Arabidopsis thaliana: one gene and its partner. The protein of the gene in region 1 interacts with the protein of each later gene in a biochemical or structural test. Each region holds a gene or a part of one and is shown on either strand. Other genes may lie near its edges.

What was found. Proteins that work in one complex are often made in the same cells at the same time.
Region 2: of the proteins of TUB7 (region 1) and AT3G19100, one has a biochemical effect on the other in vitro, tested with the Arabidopsis thaliana proteins (one study listed by BioGRID).

Annotation. Positions count from the first base shown.
Region 1 is NC_003071.7:12,643,402-12,647,866, forward strand, and holds TUB7 (tubulin beta-7 chain), read right to left. Parts: upstream 2,657-4,465; 5' UTR 2,532-2,656; coding exon 2,138-2,531; intron 1,953-2,137; coding exon 1,683-1,952; intron 1,543-1,682; coding exon 857-1,542; 3' UTR 516-856; downstream 1-515. Other genes in the region: RPC14 (RNApolymerase 14 kDa subunit), read left to right, coding at 1-115, 237-427; ENOC (cytosolic enolase), read left to right, coding at 3,234-3,338, 3,425-3,579, 3,665-3,839, 3,922-3,993, 4,075-4,191, 4,314-4,394. UniProt on the Arabidopsis thaliana protein: Tubulin is the major constituent of microtubules, a cylinder consisting of laterally associated linear protofilaments composed of alpha- and beta-tubulin heterodimers.
Region 2 is NC_003074.8:6,603,593-6,609,795, reverse strand, and holds AT3G19100 (Protein kinase superfamily protein), read right to left. Parts: upstream 4,501-6,203; 5' UTR 4,116-4,500; coding exon 3,570-4,115; intron 2,894-3,569; coding exon 2,763-2,893; intron 2,626-2,762; coding exon 2,584-2,625; intron 2,478-2,583; coding exon 2,369-2,477; intron 2,267-2,368; coding exon 1,891-2,266; intron 1,784-1,890; coding exon 1,671-1,783; intron 1,564-1,670; coding exon 1,456-1,563; intron 1,377-1,455; coding exon 1,314-1,376; intron 1,220-1,313; coding exon 1,052-1,219; intron 960-1,051; coding exon 816-959; 3' UTR 501-815; downstream 1-500. Other genes in the region: AT3G19120 (PIF / Ping-Pong family of plant transposase), read left to right, coding at 1-118; LARP6c (RNA-binding protein), read right to left, coding at 6,087-6,203.

The sequences.
Region 1 (4,465 bases):
GATTATGTCAATAACCAGTACTGTTTTCAATTCTGCAGTCCCAGAGTAACCGTGGCTGCATACACCATCCCACATCCTTCCCTTGAACAGGTCAATATCCGGGTCCAGACAACAGGTACTGTTTTTCAAAAACTCTGTTCATCAGAGTTAAGCTATGTTCTTTTTGGATAACTCTTATCCGAGTTCTTTGTCTGTGTGTCTAACAACATAAAACGTGTTGGCTCTGTGGCTTTTAGGTGATCCAGCAAGAGAGGTTTTTAAAGATGCATGTCAAGAGCTCATGCAAATGAACAGACATGTGAGAAGCGTTTTTGATAAGGCTGTTGCTGAGTATAAGGATGAACAAAAGCGTAAGGAGGAGGCTGAAGAAGAAGAGCTTAAGAGGCAGAGGGATCTATTTGGGTCCATGGACATTGAAAACAACTGATAACCATTGTATTCTCCTATGGAGTTTATACTATTTTTATCTTAAATCCAGATTCGTCCTTCAAATTGACTCGTCAAATTCATAATCCACACCAAAATTTAACCAAGAAGATTCTTATATTGCTTATAACCATTGTCACTACTACTCTGCTTCTTATATTTGAAAGATGGTGAAGTCTTCACCGAATTCACATAGTCAAAATTAACAAAAGGTTATATAATGAAACAAAGAAAAAAAATACTATGGATGGATTTTGATTTAGCAAAATAGATTGTTTGAATATTGATTGATAAATCCTCTTAGCCTACGCAGAGTATCATAACTACTAATAACGCAAGCGATAGTTACAGAAACTATAAGAACTTAATAGAAGAGAGTTTTAAAAGTAAACAGCAACTGGAAGTTGAGGTGTTCTTATCATCTGTTTCTTCAATAAGTTTCTTCTTGCTCGTACTCAGCTTCTTCCTCTTCATATTCTCCTTCTTCATCAGCCGTTGCATCTTGATACTGCTGATACTCAGAGACAAGATCGTTCATGTTGCTTTCAGCTTCAGTGAACTCCATCTCATCCATACCTTCACCTGTGTACCAATGCAAGAAAGCCTTTCTCCTGAACATAGCAGTGAATTGCTCACTGACACGCCTGAACATCTCTTGGATCGAAGTTGAGTTACCAATGAACGTTGAAGCCATCTTCAGACCAGTAGGGGGAATGTCACAGACGGTTGATTTGACGTTGTTAGGGATCCATTCCACAAAGTAGGAGGAGTTCTTGTTCTGTACGTTCAGCATCTGTTCATCGACCTCCTTGGTGCTCATCTTTCCACGGAACATGGCTGAAGCAGTGAGGTAGCGACCGTGTCTTGGGTCAGCAGCACACATCATGTTCTTAGCATCCCACATTTGCTGAGTGAGCTCTGGGACAGTGAGGTTACGGTACTGCTGAGATCCACGAGAGGTGAGAGGAGCAAATCCCACCATGAAGAAGTGGAGACGAGGGAATGGGATCAGATTCACAGCTAGCTTTCGCAGATCAGAGTTCAGTTGACCAGGGAACCTAAGACAGCAGGTTACACCAGACATGGTTGCAGAGATCAAGTGGTTCAGATCACCAACTGCACAATTCAGAAAACAAACAAAAAAATATGTGAGTGAAGTTTCAATACTAATCAATAACTAAGCCTGAAACAATAAACCACAGAGACAGATACAGTAACAACATTGACTCATAATCGAAGAACATTGGAATACTTACAACTTGGAGTGCTAAGCTTGAGTGTACGGAAGCAAATGTCATACAAAGCTTCGTTGTCAAGAACCATACACTCATCAGCGTTCTCAACAAGCTGGTGCACAGATAGTGTTGCGTTGTAAGGCTCCACAACAGTGTCAGACACCTTAGGCGATGGGAACACAGAGAAAGTCATCATCATACGGTCTGGGTACTCCTCCCTGATCTTAGATATCAACAAAGTTCCCATTCCAGAACCAGTTCCTCCTCCCAAGGAATGGCACACCTGAAATCCTGTAAATCCAAACAACCAAAACCATAAGCAAACAACGAATACAAAACCGAATCCGTATTCCACAGTTCAAAATCAGAAATCTAAACCTAAAAACAATCATACACTACCAATACCCAACCTAAATTTACAGATCCAAAAACCTAAATAGACAAAAACCTAAATAAGGAAGACGGATTTCAAATACCTTGAAGGCAGTCACAGTTCTCAGCCTCTTTGCGAACAACATCAAGGACCGAATCAATAAGCTCAGCACCTTCAGTGTAGTGACCTTTAGCCCAGTTATTCCCAGCACCGGACTGACCGAAGACGAAGTTATCCGGTCGAAAGATCTGACCGTACGGACCAGATCTGACACTGTCCATGGTTCCAGGCTCCAAATCCATGAGAACAGCGCGAGGAACGTACCTTCCACAACTCGCCTCGTTGTAGTATACATTAACCCTCTCAAGCTGTAACTCGGAATCTCCTACATACCGTCCCGTCTGATCAATCCCGTGCTCGAGATTAACCACTTCCCAAAACTTGGAACCGATTTGGTTTCCGCATTGACCTCCTTGAATATGAAGAATCTCACGCATCTTCGCTCACAGAGAAGAAAACCCTAAAACTGGATCTAAAAAGAGAGAGAGAGAGAGAGATTTTGAAAAAGGGAAAGGAGAAGCAGAGAGGATCTTTTGTTTTATGAGAGAGAGAAGAAGAGGAGGGTCCATTTATAAAGAAAAGGAGGTTTTAACGGCTAATATTTGGTAATTCGAAATCGAATCGACGGTTTAGATAATGCCACGTAAATCGAGGTGGCAACGGGTGGCAAAATTCAAAAATTAATGGCTCGTGATAAAAAGTTTTTTTGAATTTCGTAAAAAAATATGTTCGTGTGAATGACAGCTGGATTCCATTAAGGAGAGCAGTTACTAAAACATCGTCGCACTCGCACGTGCTTTATGAGAGATAAAAAAGCGGTTCCAACCTGGCAATCGCACGTGAGAGACTTCTTATTGGGCCTAAAATGGGCTTTTACTCTTTTCATTTCAAATCTGCATGACTTAAAACGGAGTGATGTGCACTAGCAAAATCCTCAGACGGCAAGCATGTGTTTGTAAAGTGAAACTCATCGTTTTAATGATTGAATATGCTTATTGGATCCTGAACCGGAGCCTGAACCGGAGCGTGAACCAAAAAATACAGTCAATCGGAAAATGAATTTCAGATTCAAACTTGTTCATCGAAATTTTGCTTGAAGATTCGAATCGAGAAGTCCGTGGAAGAGGAAGAAGAAGAAGATGTCTGTGCAAGAGTATTTAGACAAGCATATGCTTTCTCGGAAAATCGAAGACGCCGTTAATGCCGCCGTAAGGGCTAAAACCTCAGATCCCGTTCTCTTCATCGTAAGTTTCCTTCGAATTTTGATTTACATGTATCGAAGTGAAATTATGTTACATTACTCATTGAATCTTCAATTGGAAAAGTGCAGGCTAATCATCTGAAGAAAGCTGTATCATCTGTGATAACGAAGGTTAAAGCACGACAGATCCTTGACAGCAGAGGAATTCCAACAGTTGAAGTTGATCTGCACACGAACAAAGGCGTTTTTCGTGCTTCTGTTCCCAGTGGTGATTCTTCTGGAACGTGAGAATTATTCTTACTCTGATTGATATACAATTCTCTAATATGATAAGCCTGACATGAGGAGATTGGTTTACTGATTCTCAAGGTATGAAGCTATTGAGCTACGTGATGGAGACAAAGGAATGTATCTTGGAAACAGTGTGGCTAAAGCTGTTAAGAACATAAATGAAAAAATTTCTGAGGCGTTGATTGGTATGGACCCAAAACTTCAGGGTCAGATAGATCAGGCTATGATAGATTTGGATAAAACTGAAAAGAAGGTAGGTGGGAACTTTTATTAGGATTGTAACAAGTTCATATATCATTGCTCCTCATGATTAATTTGATTTGAATATCTTGCAGAGTGAACTTGGTGCTAATGCTATACTTGCTGTGTCAATTGCGGCATGCAAGGCTGGAGCTGCTGAGAAAGAGGTATGAATGATAACATTTTCTCTTATCCTATGTATTTTATGCCTACTTTAGTTAGGAGATTTTGATTGAAGTTATTATCAGGTCCCTTTGTGCAAGCATCTTTCTGATCTTAGTGGCAGAGCAAACATGGTGTTACCTGTACCTGCGTTCACTGTTTTGAGTGGTGGGAAGCATGCTTCGAATACTTTTGCCATTCAGGTATTCTACATTAAGTTCACTATTAACGTTTCTGTTTCTCAAAGTTCTTCAAGAAATCTTTTGGTTTTCAAGTAATTTCATTTACATATGTAATGATTGTTGTGTTTTCATAATTTGTTTAGGAAATTATGATTCTCCCAATTGGAGCAAGTAGATTTGAGGAGGCCCTGCAATGGGGATCTGAGACATATCATCATTTAAAGGTCAATTTTCAAAGATATATGGCTTTCTAGAAGTTACCTTTCTAATTGCATCCGTAAATTTGTGTATAAGG
Region 2 (6,203 bases), on another chromosome or scaffold:
AGATGAAGCTGGAACGCCTGCAAGAGTTTTGGAGAGTGAGAGGCAGTTTTACTATTACGGGGAGAGTTTGAGGCAAGCATTGGCAGAAGATTTACACCAGAGACTCTCCTCGAGGTAAAAGACATGAACAGATCTTGGTCAAAAAATGGAGCTTTCTATCTTTGTTATCATGTAAGAAGCAGATGCTTTCAAGTGTTTAGAACTTTAGATAGCATTGTAGATTCAATCCTCTTGAGAAGAAAGTTTGAGGATTCAGAAATGTTAAAAAGCTGACTTTGTTGCCTAGCCATCCCAACTGTCAGTTTTGTAACTTAGGAATGGGTTTATGGTTTGTTCTGTAACACCTTTTGAGAATGAAATGTATGACTTCTATTGATATGGATTATGGAATCTTGAGAAGCAAGTTTTTCCGAATTTGAAATATTAATAGCTCTCTGTTACTGTAAGTTTTGTGACTTAGGAATGGGTTTTTATGATTTGCTTTGTGGCACATTGTGAATGGAATCTGAATCTTTTTCCTGGAAAAAATGGAGACAGCCAAATGAAAAGAGAAAGGGATGTTCTTAATATCTGTCTTCCATGATTTGGAAGAACACGACTGTGGATTATCATCTTATTATACAACTCTCCAGGCCTGTCGGATTTTTCTGGATACTCTCTTTCTTTGTCGGAACTTAGCATTCTTTTTCTAACACTATAAACATAGGAATGGGTCCTGAAAAAAATTCCAATTCCCAACCCCAATCCACCCATTTGCTTCTTGCAGTTGTATGTTCTTCCTCTTTCGAATCCGTTATAACACCGAGTCACTTTCCTCATCGCGTTTTCGCTAAAGATTGTCGAGTCGAGACACCGTGCAGCAGTTTGACAAAACCCAAGAAACTCAGCTTCCCGTCAGTATGTCTTATCCAGTCATTTAGAATGGTATGAACCGGGATGGATGATCCAACACCAAGTTCCTACAAAACATTTATGTTCCCTTCGTTTAGGAATTAGCTGAATAAATTGTTAAGCATGACAGAAGCAAGTGTCGAATTTCTTATAAACTTACAGAAGCGAGTTCTTCGATGACGATAACTCGGTTTCCATTCATTTCAAATAGCTCATAAGCATGACGAATGCTCTGCTCCCAACAATCAAGAGACTCATGCTGATGAACGCTAATGGAAGCTGCACAAAACTCTTCAAAATCCATCCCTTTGTATTGAAGTCCATTTAACTGTCATTTCCCAACACCAAACTTTCGTTAACCAACCTTGGATTGTATCTTAAACAGATTAAGCAAAAGGACAAGAACAGAAAGGAGACAATACCAATGCAAGAAAGTCCGGGATCCGTGATTCCTTCATTGCTTCTGTTGCATTTGTCGCAAGTGCCTGTCCAACAGAAATAAATCTAGCTTTGAGCTGTTTGCTTTCTACCAGAGAGAGACAGAGAGGAAGAGAAGGCACATACCAGTCTGATGCTATCTAAAGTGATGAGGCCATTTTTGTTGGGTGCTAAGTGTGCAAACTGCGCTTTCAGATAAAGAAGTTCATCGGTAGTTAATGTCTTGGACAGAGCCTGGAGAGAATAAAAGAGTTAGCAAACTAGATACAAAGGTAATAAATATCAAACACATCCTTAAATGTTGTTTGGAAACAGTAAAAAAGGTTAGAAGCAAAATGTACCATCAAAGCAGCTTTGCGCAAAGACGAAGATCTCAAGTATGCTTTGATCTGCTTGAAGATCAGAATATCAAATGGGATATCTATTTTCTTATAACCCGCGATCCAAGGATGCACTGTAAAAACCGGAAAAAAACGTGGAGTAACTTCAACTGGTGATTCATGAAAAGCTAGAAACAGAAGATAAATATAGAAAGATGTGGATATTTTAGAGATTACTGACTCAAAGCTTGAGATGCAGTCATTCTTTTCCGAGGGTCCTTGTACAATAATCTCTTAACAAAATCTTTTGCCTCAAAGGATAACGAAGGCCAAGGAGGTTCATCAAAACTGGGATCAGCTTTTAGAACTGCTCTGAAAATTCCTGATTCAGTTCTTGCCCAAAAAGGACGGCTTCCACATAGGAGAATGTATGCTATGACTCCTATGCTCCATACATCCGCTTCTGTGGTATAAGATCTGTGTAGAACTTCAGGGGCTACGTAATATGCACTTCCCACTATATCATTTAGTCTTTCGTCTGGTCTGACAAAGTCCGATAAGCCAAAATCTATGACTTTCAACATAGAATTCTCCTCCTTGGAAGTGTACAAGAAGTTCTGAAACATGAAAGTGTTTCAAATGTGAGATTGGTATTCAACTAAGACAATATTTCTTTTGGGTTTTGAAAGGAAAAAGCAAAGACAAAAAGTGCGGTTCACCTCTGGTTTTAGATCTCGATGAACAACTCCTTGGAGATGACAGAAAGCTACGACGTTAAGGATCTGTATAAGCACTGCTTTTGCATCATCTTCAGAGTATTTTCCTCCCCTGTAAGAGAAGTAAATTTGAAATAGTTAGACAGCCAATAGAACATCTCTAAGAAGGATCTCTGACCATAAGTTAACAAATGTCATAACAATCTTTAAAAGCAGACCTTGCTAGTATCCTGTCAAGAAGTTCACCACCTCCACATAACCTGAAAGTTGAAAGAAAGTAAATGTTTATTCACAGCTAAACATTTTGAAGTAAGCCAAGTCGGGAAAATAAGAATCTGATAGCTCTCCTAGTAGATTCAACATGACACAGGAATATATAAGCACATGATTGTCTTACTCCATAACGATGTAAACGTTGGCATTGTCCTCGAACGCATCATAGAATTGTACCAAATTTTGATGTCCAGATAACGCCCGCAGTATTTTCACTTCTCTTCTCACATCCTCTATAGATATTGCAGATGTCATCTGCCAAACCAAAGCTGATGAGAAACAGTCTATTGTGGATTAAGCTAACACTAAACCTATCTGTATATTACACCAACTAACTCGATTACATGATTAACTTTCTTAGTCATCAAATAAGGACCATCAAAATTTCAATTGCTTAATGACAATTGACAAAAGCACAAATGTCCATGTTCCAATTTATTGACCAATTTAAAACGTTTAGAAATGTTCACAGAAAAGTCAGCAATGCTAATCTACAACCATTGAAAACTTGGCTATTGAAAAACATGGATGAAACATAAGTGTCATTGACAAACTTCAACCTCATCTGTGTTCGCTATTACTTGTTTTTGTATTAATTTCTATGCGTGAAAGTCTACATACGCTATCAATTTTTTCAAAAAGATGGCTCAAACAAGAGGACAGTAAGCTCGTAGAGAAGAACAGAAACATCTCAAGAGACCGTAATGATCAAATTACAGGTTCATCATGAAGCAAAAGGAGACTATGATGGTTTGTTCTTCTACCTTGAAACAGTTTAACATCTACTAAACAAATCAGACAAGACACACAAAGAATCTTCAATTTGTCAGATATAGCTATCACTACAATGATGAAGCACTTGAGCCAATTGAAGCAGAAAACTTAAGATGGAAACTTGAGAATTTGGAAAAAGTAAAGCTGTAAAAATGACCTTAGATTTTGGGATGACTTTAACAGCAACCTCCTGATCTTTGAGCTCTCCTTTCTTGAACTTAGCAGAGCAAGTATACCCAAAATGCCCTCTCCCAATCTCTTCCCCTAGCTCAATCCTACTCTGTAACTCCTTGGAAAACCCAAATCTTTTATCCAGCCCTACCTCTTCCCTCTCCTCCTCCTCCTTCTGCTGCCTCGCCGCCGGCAGAGCAGCCTCCTTCTTCTCCTTCCTCCGCCGCAGAACATCCCGTATATGTCTCGCCGGTGACGGAGGGTGGAAAGCACGCGCGAGCTGACGGAGAGGAGTGCTGGTAACGCTCTTACTCTCTCCTCCTCCGCCGTCGCGGCTCTTGTTACGGCGGTGCCGGGCGGGACTAGGCGTGTAAAAAGGGAAAAAAGGAGAGGCCTTTACGGCGGGAGATGAACGAACCGGTGATTTCCCGGGATGAGCAGGGGTAGAATCGTCATTTTGGAGAACCGCGTCTTTGGGTGCGTAAGGATTAGGTTTGACGGAGGAGGAAGGTTTGGAAGTACAGCCTCCCATATATCCTTCTCCTTCTTCTTCTTCTTCTCCGGTTCAAAGAAATAAAAAAAGACAGAAGAAGAAGATATGGGAGTTATGTCTGGACTTAAAGAGAATCACAGCAATGACATTGAAGCACTCTGGTTTGGTTTCAATGTAGTTAGAGAGAGACAGAGAGAGAAGAAGTGAGCTGTAGAAGAGAGAGAAGCCACATGGCAGAATCTGCGGGTGGTGAAGTAGCTTCCTTCCATCTGATGAAGAAGGTTAGATTTTAGATGTGGATTGGTCGAAATTTAGTTTGCTTTTTGCCACGTCTTTCTACTTTTGTCCCTCTTTTTTTTTCTTTTTAATTCACAATATGTTTGTTCTTTCTCTAAGCAATACTATACGTTTTCTTTTGCTTTTGTATTTTATCTATCATTATTTTTTGTCTTTTTTTCTTGTCTTTTTTGTTGTTGATATTGTCTTTTTGATATCTTATTGGGAGAATAAAAACGTTTTGAAATGTATTTATGGACGTTATCATTTTCAAAAGTGGGAATTAAAGATAACTTTTAAAGCTCCATCTTGTGATACTACTAAATTAAATATTTTATTACTAATTAACTAGGGAGGTTATAAAAGATACAAATAATATTGCTCTGAAAATCAGGATTTACGTTATATAAATTGATTGGATGTACCTGCTTGACCCTTTTTGAAACATGCTGATGTTGTAACCTAACAACTTCATTGTATCTGGACAGGTCGTATATCAATTTCAATTTTTAATAAGATTTCATCATTTTCAAAATATTTGATCCACATCTCTAAGTTCTTTTTTTCTTTTTCTTACTAACTCTTGATTTGAAAATCTCTCTCCAATACCAATCGTTAAGATCAGTTTAGTTATCATTATTTCTATCTACCAATCGGTACGTAATTTAGTATAGACTATGAAGTTGGTTTACTGATATTGCATGTTTGGTTTCATGTAAATACATGTCCAACAATTTCCATCCTTTGAAGGTTTTCTATTAATTTGGGAGTAAAATTAGGTTTTGTTTCAATTAAAGATTATACATTTATTATAATTAATATGATACTATAAATTAGTTTGTTTGACAACTACCATAGGTTATGAAATTACTAGACAACCTTGGCAAGAACTTTTGTTATCTCAATACTCATTTGTCTTTTCACTTATTTTTAGAAAAAAATTGTACATTGAATCCATTTTTTTTTTTTTTTCACAACATTGAATCCAATCTAAGGTCATTGAAAAATGTCTTTTCAAGTATTGGGTTTTGTAAACAAAATCCAATCGAAAAATGGCAATTATTGTAAACAAAACCCACTTCCTTATATTGATTGAGATGAATAATGGATTCAATAAGTGACTCCGCCTTCTTCAAGGTTGTTAAAGAATTGTCGAATATGTCTTAAAAATTAATATATATCAAACCGGTTAAAAAACCATTTGGGAATGTCAATAGATACAAGTTACTGGAATTAGTTAGGATGCAAGAAGATAGTAACATTTTACCTGATTATTTCCTTTCTTGTGCTTGTGCTTTTTATAAACTATTCATCATGTTTTTTTAGTTTTTCTTTAGAAAGAAAATTGATTAGTTTTCAAGTTTCACCCAATCTTTCAGTCACTTATTCAAATCCATTACTCATCTAAATCAAAACAAAGAGTTGAGAGGGTTGCAATTCTTGTGCTATATAAATTACCCCTTTATTATTCAAATAATAATCTCACAAAAATAAAACATATTAAACATACAGAAAAGAAATTGCCTCAAAAAATGAAAAAAGTTATATAAAACGAACCCTCAAAAAACGTCACCGTGCCTTCACTATCTTCTCCCAAGTCATGTGCCTTGCTTCTTTTGAATGCATCTTAGGAAAACCAATCCATATGTATTATTTGGTTAATTAACTCTAAAATCTTTTACCTCTATTATAATAAATCAATTATAAATAGCAGTCCTTGTGGTGGGTAACTATTTAGAGATTGTTAGGTGAGAGTGAGATGGAAGGTTTGCCACGTCCCATGGTGAAGCCTCTGGTTCCATCAGGCATTCTTGGTCCCTTTGTTGCTGTTTTAGGAGACGAAGATTCGTG